Arabidopsis thaliana: one gene and its partner. The protein of the gene in region 2 interacts with the protein of the main gene of each other region in a pairwise test. Each region holds a gene or a part of one and is shown on either strand. Other genes may lie near its edges.

What was found. The genes of interacting proteins can lie anywhere in the genome.
Region 1: the proteins of AT5G03990 (region 2) and ckl10 interact in a two-hybrid assay, tested with the Arabidopsis thaliana proteins (one large-scale study listed by BioGRID).

What each region holds. Positions count from the first base shown.
Region 1 is NC_003074.8:8,349,125-8,354,533, reverse strand, and holds ckl10 (casein kinase I-like 10), read right to left. Parts: upstream 3,732-5,409; 5' UTR 3,488-3,731; coding exon 3,412-3,487; intron 3,303-3,411; coding exon 3,262-3,302; intron 3,051-3,261; coding exon 2,981-3,050; intron 2,893-2,980; coding exon 2,744-2,892; intron 2,649-2,743; coding exon 2,553-2,648; intron 2,466-2,552; coding exon 2,395-2,465; intron 2,266-2,394; coding exon 2,204-2,265; intron 2,092-2,203; coding exon 2,028-2,091; intron 1,936-2,027; coding exon 1,851-1,935; intron 1,755-1,850; coding exon 1,628-1,754; intron 1,538-1,627; coding exon 1,464-1,537; intron 1,355-1,463; coding exon 1,291-1,354; intron 1,195-1,290; coding exon 1,076-1,194; intron 974-1,075; coding exon 743-973; 3' UTR 513-742; downstream 1-512. Other genes in the region: AT3G23350 (ENTH/VHS family protein), read right to left, coding at 1-40, 119-241, 324-433; AT3G23330 (Tetratricopeptide repeat (TPR)-like superfamily protein), read right to left, coding at 5,187-5,409. UniProt on the Arabidopsis thaliana protein: Casein kinases are operationally defined by their preferential utilization of acidic proteins such as caseins as substrates. It can phosphorylate a large number of proteins.
Region 2 is NC_003076.8:1,073,691-1,078,073, reverse strand, and holds AT5G03990 (FK506-binding-like protein), read right to left. Parts: upstream 2,404-4,383; 5' UTR 2,118-2,403; coding exon 2,015-2,117; exon of another isoform or gene 1,812-2,014; intron 1,522-1,811; coding exon 716-1,521; 3' UTR 525-715; downstream 1-524. Other genes in the region: AT5G03995 (uncharacterized protein), read left to right, coding at 319-513; AT5G03980 (SGNH hydrolase-type esterase superfamily protein), read left to right, coding at 2,785-2,928, 3,042-3,869.

The DNA.
Region 1 (5,409 bases), on a different chromosome or scaffold from region 2:
TTCTCTCCAATTCTTTATCTCTCTTTCATCTTTCCCAATCCTGTTTTTCATAATCATCATCTTAAGCTATCCCTTAATCATAATAATAATCTTCAAGAGAAACAAAACTAATTCATACTTTCTATGAAGAACATCCACAATTCTCCAATACTCCACGGTATCAAACGATGCCTCGGCTATTTTCGTCATCGTTTTAGCGTCTGGTGAAGAAGGATCACCATTTGTTACTTCTTCTACTAACCTAAGAATGAAAGAGTTAAATTTAACCATCACTAATGGAGTATTATCAATTAGCTAATTAATGAAGTTAATAGTCTACTCACAACTCAGCTTCGGTAACATCGGTGAGGACAAGTCTAGCAACATTGTACTTGTCTTGAATAAACGAAGAGGCTTGTTTCTTGAAATCTCCAAACCAAAGTGTCCCCATCATCAATTTTTCGAAATTGGATGGTCTATTCTGTCTCCACAATTCAACTTAAATGATAGCTTCAGACCAAACATGGGTAACCCTTATTTTTAGATTCAGACACTTCAGGAGACACTTGACGTCTATTAATAGATTTCAAGCATTTGACCAAATTTGAACTAATATAAACAAAGTACTTGTGTTACAAGTTACATATACCACTTTATAAAATTCTATGAAGAACTATAAACACATAAAGTGGGAGACAGTTTTACATTGTTTACACATTTTCAGATTCTTCCAAACTCCGATCCGCAAGCTTTCTTGAGTGACTCATTTCCGCTTTCCGGAACCGATAGTAAGCATATCGAAGCTTCTCAGGCCGTCATCACGCCCAAGCCTTGCAGATAACTTAGTTTCTTGCACCGGTTGAATCTTTTGGGCACTGCTTGAAAAAAGTTTACTTGAGCGGTTCTCACTCAGCTCACCTGATGAGCCAGGTTGGCTGCTAGACATCACTGCCATCTTTGTAGCAATCTCATTTCGGGTTTTTTCAGACACTTGCTGTGCATTGCAACAAACATCAAAATGATTCTCATGATTGATACCAACCGGAAAACTTTAAAGTCATCTACACAACAGAAAGATAGCAAACAGAAAACTAACCACTTCTTTGGAAGCATCATCAGAAAAAATGTGCTTCGGGCGAATGCCATGACTCGGTACATTTCGTCTAGCGAATGCTTCAACTGCACCTGAGAATCTTTCTCGTAGATCCTGCCCCACTACACAAAAATAGGAAATCAACTTCTGAGTTTATACTTCAACCATTTCAGCGTAAGATATGTCTACTATCTGCAGGATGTAAAATAATGTTATACCTATAGGCTTTTCATTTCGTTCTGCAGATGGTCCTGGAGGGTCTAGAGCTGGTTTAGGATTTGGCTGATAGAAATGAGACACAATATAATACAAACATGAGATTTTCAGAGTATTTTACGGTTTCTAAAAGTTTCTTCATCATCATATGTTGATGCAAAAAAAAAACACTAACCCTTGGTTTTGAAATAGAGCCACTCTGAGGATATTTCAAGATTGTCCAATCAAACACATAGTCAAACTGATAACCTGAAGGCATTAACAATTGATGTAATTCATGAGCGGTTTAATAGAGAGGTGAAGGAGACAGTCAGACAGAATACAGTAGAGGTTTCTAACCTTCCCGAATAAAAAGGTCCCTGAAAAGTCTTTTCAGATATGAATAATCTGGTTTATCCTCAAACCTCAATGAACGGCAGTAATGGAAATATGATGTGAACTCGGATGGATATGACTTGCAAAGAACCTGCAAACAGCAAAATCATATTTATCGAAAAGTTTAAGAAAAGCTAAACATCGTCTTTTCGCAATACAAAAACACTATTGTAGATATATGACGTACCTCTACGGGAGTAAGCATCTTCTTTTCACTTATCTTCTCGTATTTCTGTTTCTTAGTACCAGCTTTTAGACCTTGCCATGGTAAACTGAGACAAGAAGTTGTATTCCGTCTCAAGTTTAAGGATCTCATGTTTCTTAAAGATTTCACTATTAATACACAACCAAGATAGTTTCCTACCTTCCTCGTATAAAATACATCAGAACATAACCAAGAGACTCCAGATCATCTCGTCTACTTTGCTCTGCAAGAAGATATAAGAAATGTTTCAAAAGAAGGAAAATAGTAGCTTAACGGTTACTGCACAAATATAGAATGAAAGCTATTCTAATGTGTGACATGGAAACATTTCTCACCAATGCCAAGGTGTGTGTTGACACTTGCATACCTAGCAGTTCCAGTCAGATTCTTATTTTCCCTATAAAAAAAGTTTCATGAAGAGTGCATATAGTAAATTACCAAGCATAAGACCTGAATACATCAATACTTGCCTACATTAGTTTCTAATGAAGCACAAACAAAATAACCAACAAGGAAGTATTCTAACCTGTAAGGTATATGCTTGTGTGTCTGAAGATCTCTATACTTTTTAGCAAGCCCATAATCAATAATGTACACCTGAGGTTGAAATCCAAAACTCGTCACACCAGACTCGATGCTAAGAACAATCATACGACATACTAAAGACGAAACTAGAAAGCCTACTTGGTTTGCTTTGCGACCGAGACCCATCAAAAAGTTATCCGGTTTAATATCACGGTGAAGAAATCCTCGAGAGTGCATGTACTCAACTCTGTTTATCTAAAGTAATACTCAAAAGAGCTAAAACATTAGCAATGATCCCGCAACCGAACATTAACCCGATATCAAGAACTCGAAAGAGTATGTATACTTACTAACTGATCAGCAAGCATTAGAACAGTTTTCAAAGAAAAACTCCGAGTGCAATAGTTGAACAAGTCTTCCAAGCTTGGACCAAGAAGGTCAATAGCCATACAATTGTAGTTACCCTCAACACCGAACCATTTGATATGCGGAACACCCGCTAGTCAAAAGAAAACCCAAAGAACTTAGACCAATGGAAACATAAACATCAAGTGAAATGAGCTGAGTAATGAAAAGTGAAAACTCACTCCCTCCTTGAAGAAGCATGTATACTTTTGATTCATAATGGAGCTGAGGATGCTTTGTCTTCACAGGTTCCTACCAACAAAGAAATGTATAAGAACAGATCAACAGCTATATTATAGAGAACAAAAACAAAAGAATCAATAAGATGTTCATACTCAACAAAAGCTAGTCTAAAGAAAACTAAAGAACTTAAAACTTATGACCTCAGATACAAGTATAGTGTGACAACATAGTTTCAAGATTCACTAATAGTGGAAAACTGAAAATTGAATATGTAACATACCAGCTTAAGAGCAACTTCTTCTCCAGTTTGAACATTAATCCCTTCGAATCACACATACCAAAGTGAATCAACATCAAAATTCACACTAATTACCAACAAAGAACCAAAAAAAAAAAAAAAAAAAAAAAAACTGATTGATTTTTTATATACCAATATAAAGTTCACCGAATGATCCACTACCAATCTTCCTACCTAACTTGAACTTGCCACCGATTACATGATCCATCGTTTCAATACCAATAAATACTACTTACAGAGCCAAATACGATTTATCAAACGGTTAATGACTCAATATAACATTCTCATCAATACAAAATTGTAGAACGAAGCAAACCAAACGAAAGAATTTTCTGAGGAGTTTGTATATTTCTGAGGATAAACTTGAAGAGATAGTTTGATGACCGACTAAACAAGTAGAGGAGATGAATGAGAAAACAGAGACAGATGGTTTTGACGGATGTTATTTATTTATCTCATTCTTCTTTATACACATAATAATTAATAACATTTTTTAAGTCACGGGAAAGGGAAAATAAACGGATACAGATAAAAATAATTATTGTTAAATAATATTTTAGTAATTTACTTTCCCACTCATTTTTTTTATATATCAAATTACTTTCTCACCCTATTATATATTATTCACCCAAAAACAAAAACCTTAAAAAAATTGTCACTATATTCTTAATTTTCTCTCACACTATGATCATTGGATGTTTTAGCTTCTTATCATAGTGATGCAAATTTCATTAAAAAAAAAAATCTATATTTTTACCTATTTTTTCTTTTATGTATATATTTATAAACCAAATCCACTCTATATCCACTCTCCCTTTTTTTCTGTCGAGCAAAAAAAAAAAGATATCTACTCTATTCAAAATATATTTCTAGGACTTGCTGAATTTAATATTCATGGATGGCTGCCAAAGTTTCTTGAATGTTTTTGCTTTCTTTAGAAAATTGCTAAATCATGACCATCGACGTAGAACCAAGCACAACCAAATTCAAGGAAAAGACAAGACAAAGAAAACTAAAAGCAAAGTAAGCTTTGTGTTACCGACTTCTCAAATGCCAACAATGTTTAAAACAGAGAGTTTGATGATTAGCACAACTAATCCTTTGCTTTTCTTCGCAGACTAAATTTATGGCAAGTTGCACCTTTGGAAATGTTAAGTATAGGAAAAGCAAAGCAAACAATATTGGCAAGAATAGTGAAAAAAGGATCATGGACAAACAATTGATCGAGAAATCGTAAGACAAAAAAAACAGTCCAAATATAAACGATCCAAGAAATATAATACCTATTTTATGTATACACTAAATTTCGGGGTTTTTTACCACTACGGTAAAAATATGAACTATATCACCAATTGACATTGCAATAAAAAAAAATAGCAATAATTTAGTGGTATTAAAAAAAAAAACTGACTTACAATCAAATCCATTCTGTTGGTTTTTATATATAGTGAACATATTTTATAATAGTATAACGACTAGTCGATTTTCCACTACATAGAAAATGAATGTTCATAGTGCCAAAAAGGGATCCAATGGCCATGATTTATTATGGGCAATGAATAATAATGTGAAAATTTTGTATGCATGGGTCAGCTTCTGTCTGTTGTTGTTGTATACACAACAGATCATATATATTTATGTCCAAACATTCCATATATTGTTTGTTTAATAAATACAAAAAAAAACTCATGCAAATTCCACTTTACTTTTAAAACAATACTTTATTGTTAGGTCTATTTCCACATGATTTGTTCTAATTTTTCCTAATTATAAGAAAATTATAGAGATAGAAAAATATATAAATTGGTTGAACACTACAATAAGTGTAATGAAACATATGTTCCCTATGCGACGTCGTTTCTGTCTCTGAACAAAAGATGAAGTCAAAAAAGTTTCACACTTCATTATTACCAATAATCTCCACAAGAACAGTTTCCACGGTTGAAATGGTGGAATCTGCTATTATCCCTAACGATAATCTCTCTTTCCGTGATCTTCGAGATAAACTTGATTGCGACATGACAATCCGTGCATATCCTTATATTCTTAGTGACTCTAATTGTCGTGCCAGGTTCTGTGTTGATGATACCAAAGGCAACAGCCAATCTCTCACTGTGTCCGAACAAAAGC
Region 2 (4,383 bases):
TCTATGAGCTTAATTTATATATAGTTAGTTTTTCATGGATGCATCATTTATATATTGTGTTTAAACTTCACATATTAGGTGTTGTTATCTTAAGCTTAATTCATGTCTCTTCTCTTAAACTTAGCGAAACAGTTTTTTGTTTTTGTTTTCCTTCTCTTTTGACTCAGTTATCTATTGATATTCAAGAGTATCGATCTGTATATTCTTAAACAAGAGGTATTTGTGATTTAGATTTTGTAAGAGATTCTTGGTAGAAAAAAAGTTTGAGATCCAATTATGTTTCAGGACAAGTCCTCAAGATCTTTTAAAATGTAGCAGAGACATTCTTTGGAGAAATCTGCAGAAGCTTTCTTCGTTTTCTTTCCAAAGGTTCATGAAGATGACCAACAGTGGAACTCTCGAGCCAGAGGCATGAGAGAAACTCGTACATTTTCCCGATCATCACTCTCCAAGCGTTTTGTATATATTCAAGAATTGAGCTCTATCATTCACAAGTTGTATATTAGATTATAATTTCCAAAATCACTCAGAAACTTATATAGGCATATCATTTTAAGTGATAAGATCCTCTGAAACGTTTAGACAAAATAATTTTGAGCCATCAGTATGATTCTAACACACACACACGGAACACACTCACACTATATAGTTAAACCTACTATACTACAGCTCTTTCCTCAAAAAATGTTTTATCAAGAGAGACTCTGTGTCTGATTCAGAAGGATTCAGTCCAACCCCATGCATTCGCCGAATGTTGCTGAAACCCGCCTCTGCTTCTCCCTCTCCCATTCCTCCATCGACAATCCTCCACTCGTTCTCCTCCATGTCGCCCTTCTCCTCTCTTTCTCCACCCTCTGTTCTCTCTTCCTTGATCCCTACCATTCCAATTCTCAACCTTCTTGTAGTTGAAGCTGTTGTTGTTGCAGTTTTTCTGATCCCAAGTTTCAGCTTTGAAGTTGTTGTTATGATCCCAAGAATCAGTGTTGGTGTTGTTGTTGTTATGATCCCAAGTTTCAGTTTTCTCCTTTATCCCCCAAGAATCTTCATTCCATCCATCATATTTCTGATCACCCCATGAGTTTTCTGGTTTACCCTTTCCAACATTCTCCTCGTTAATCCCTTCAGCGTCACCCCAACCAGTTCCCCAACCAAGCCCGCCATACTGTCCAGATAAAACCAAAGCATCGAGTATCACAACATGCTCTTGTTCTTCTGTTAAAGGGTCTGGACCACGTTCAAGGTCAAGTATCAACTCATTGTCAACTTCAGCATCCCAATCAACATCATCAATGTAAACATCAGGATCAGGCAAAGATAAGTCACAAGTTAAACCATTTATCTCTGCCCAGAAACGAGATTTAGCGTTCTTGAATGCGTCTTCACCAGCTGAGTCGTCCCATTGGACCACTCTATCGTATATGTGCATAAACCGCTTGGCCTCTACAACTTTCCACCATGGAACTGAACCAATCACAGCACAAAAATCCTTCTCCCACGCTGGAACAGAGATCTTGCAATTAGCTGCAAAAAAACATAAGAATCCAAGAGTTAGAAATTCTGATCACAGGATGAAGAATAACTTACAGATCAAGCAAAAGCTACAAACAATAAACTTGTCAAGAATCAGAGGGTTAAGAATCAAAAGTTCATTAACCTAAAATACATAGAAGAGATTAAAGTTCATATATTTCTACTGTACATGCAGGAATTAGTATATAGAAGGAAACATAAGTAAATTAAGATTAAAAAAAACTCACAAACCTAACAAAGATAGAGTCAATTAGTATTACAAATTCTCTAATTTCACTAACCTAAAATACATAGAAGAGATTAAAAGACCGAACATTGCTTAACGAACACAAACCCTAATTAAGAACACAAAAGAGGAAAACCCAATGAGAAACACATCAAGGAACTCGATTTGCAAGCGACGAAAGGTTATACATAATTGAACAACTCAAAATCACAAATTTAAGAAAGAAAAAAAACAGAGAGGAGAGAACAGAGATCATACCAAGAGGTGGCTTTGATGATGATTGCGTCATCGTCGTCCCTCGTTGACGACTATAATTATTGCTGTTGTTGTTTCTGGGTTTTTGTCTTCTCCAATTACTCATAATGAACCGACAAAGATTGAATTTTTTTCAAGCAGACAATGAAAATACCTTCCAAATCAGGAAGATTTAATGAACAAAATCCCTAATTTCGACGAGAAATGGCGAAGATAATCAGAGAGAAAGGTTGTTGTTTCTTTTAGAGCTCTCTGCAACGAAACAGATGATTTATAAGAAGATGAGGTGAAGAAAAATCAAAGAACACAGAGATTTCTCTCTAGAAATTTCCTTTTTCATTCTTTTTTTTTTGTCGTTTCCTTTTTCATTCTTAATTTCGAATTTTTCAGGTGAAAATAAAAAAGTAAAGAAAGCGTTTTAATATTTATTTCCTTTTTGTTTTAGGCAAAATATTGATATTAATAAAAAGAGGAATTTTCGATACGTTGCCTCGTTTTGCCTGATTCTAGTTGATTAAATATTAAATAATAATGTTTTTTAATAATATAAAATAAAATAAAAATTCTGACATATTTTCTCAGATCTCGTTCTATCAAATATTTTTCTTGAATTTATCACTATCAATAATTATTATTGAATATATCTATCTAAATCACAGACTAACTAGGAGCTAGATTATGAAACTCTATATATACACACACATAGGCAACAAATTCTCTCATCCTTCTCTTTGTCTAAAACCAACAAACAAATCTCTCAAACTTCTCTAACAATGTCTACGACCAAAGCATTATCGCTTCTTGTGTTTATACTCTTCGTGTCCCTTGTTCATTCATCGGATCAATGTCCTATCAACTCTATCTACCAATTCGGTGACTCCATCTCCGACACTGGAAACTTAATCCGCAACGGCCCTGTTGGAGCCAGATCTTCTCACGCCGCTAATTATCCATACGGTCAAACATACTTTCACCAAGCCACCGGTCGTCTATCTAACGGACTGCTAATGATCGATTACTTGGCACGCAGGCTTCATCTCCCACTCCTAAACCCTTACCTCAACGGGAACACAACGTCTTTGTTAACTTCGGAGTTTCCGGAAGCACAGCACTCAACAGCTCTTTCTTCTCCGAGAGAAATCTCCACGTTCCGGCAACAAACACTCCTCTCTCCATGCAGCTTGCTTGGTTCAAGGGTCATCTACGTTCCACGTGTCACGGCTCTTCTTCGGATTGCTTGAAGCACTCTCTTTTCATGGTCGGTGAGATAGGAGGCAACGACTACAACTACGGTTTCTTCCAAGGCAAACCAATGGAAGAAATCAGAAGCTACATCCCTCACGTGGTTGGAGCCATCACAGCCGCAGCTAGAGAGGTGATCCGTGCTGGTGCGGTTAACGTGGTCGTCCCGGGAAACTTTCCAGTGGGATGTTTTCCGATTTACTTGACGTCTTTTCCCGTGAAAGATACAAAAGATTACGACGACAACGGTTGCTTGACGCATCTCAACGAATTCGCAATGGATCACAATAACCAACTCCAAGAAGCTATAGCTTCTTTGAGAAAAGAGTTTCCAGACGTGGCTATAGTATACGGAGATTACTACAATGCGTTTCAATACGTTCTACGAAGTGAAAGATTCGACAAGAGTGTAGCTTTGAAATCGTGTTGCGGGACCGGTGGAGCTTACAACTACGACGGAAAGAGGCCATACGGAGCAGTGGGAGTTCCGGTGTGTCAGAATCCACACAAGTTCATAAGTTGGGACGGAGTGCACTTGACTCAAAAGGCTTATAGATTCATGTCTAAGTTCTTGAACAATCAGATTCTTTCACAGATCAAGTGTACTAGGGCTTAATTACGAGCGTTATTTTTTAGTCCCTCCTCGATTTTTTGTTAAGTTATAAATCTCTACTATTTGTAATAATATCTTACATCCTTAGATTTTATTGATTTTTTAAGATATGTTTTTTTTTTTTTTGAACAACAGATTTTTTAAAATATGTTAGCATCCTTTTTTACTTATGAAGATCATATAAATCGTAAGTCCAATTTCTACTAGACAATCTTATTTTAAATGCATACCTAACTGCAACCTCAAATTTCTCAATTGCATTAACAAAAGTGACAAATGACATTCCTAGAACAAAAGAAAACAATTATGTTCATGCCACAAAAGAGAAAAAAAAAAAAAGAACAATATTTCAGAATTTAATCTCGAATCGAATATAGAGAAAAACACAATTTGAAAGAAAGAAAAATCTTCGTCGCTTGTCAAAAAAAAAAAAAAACGAAATCTGTCCCGTAGTTTATAATTTTGACCGTTCGATTATCCCTTAAATCTTGTCCGTCGTCAGATGAAACCAGAGAGG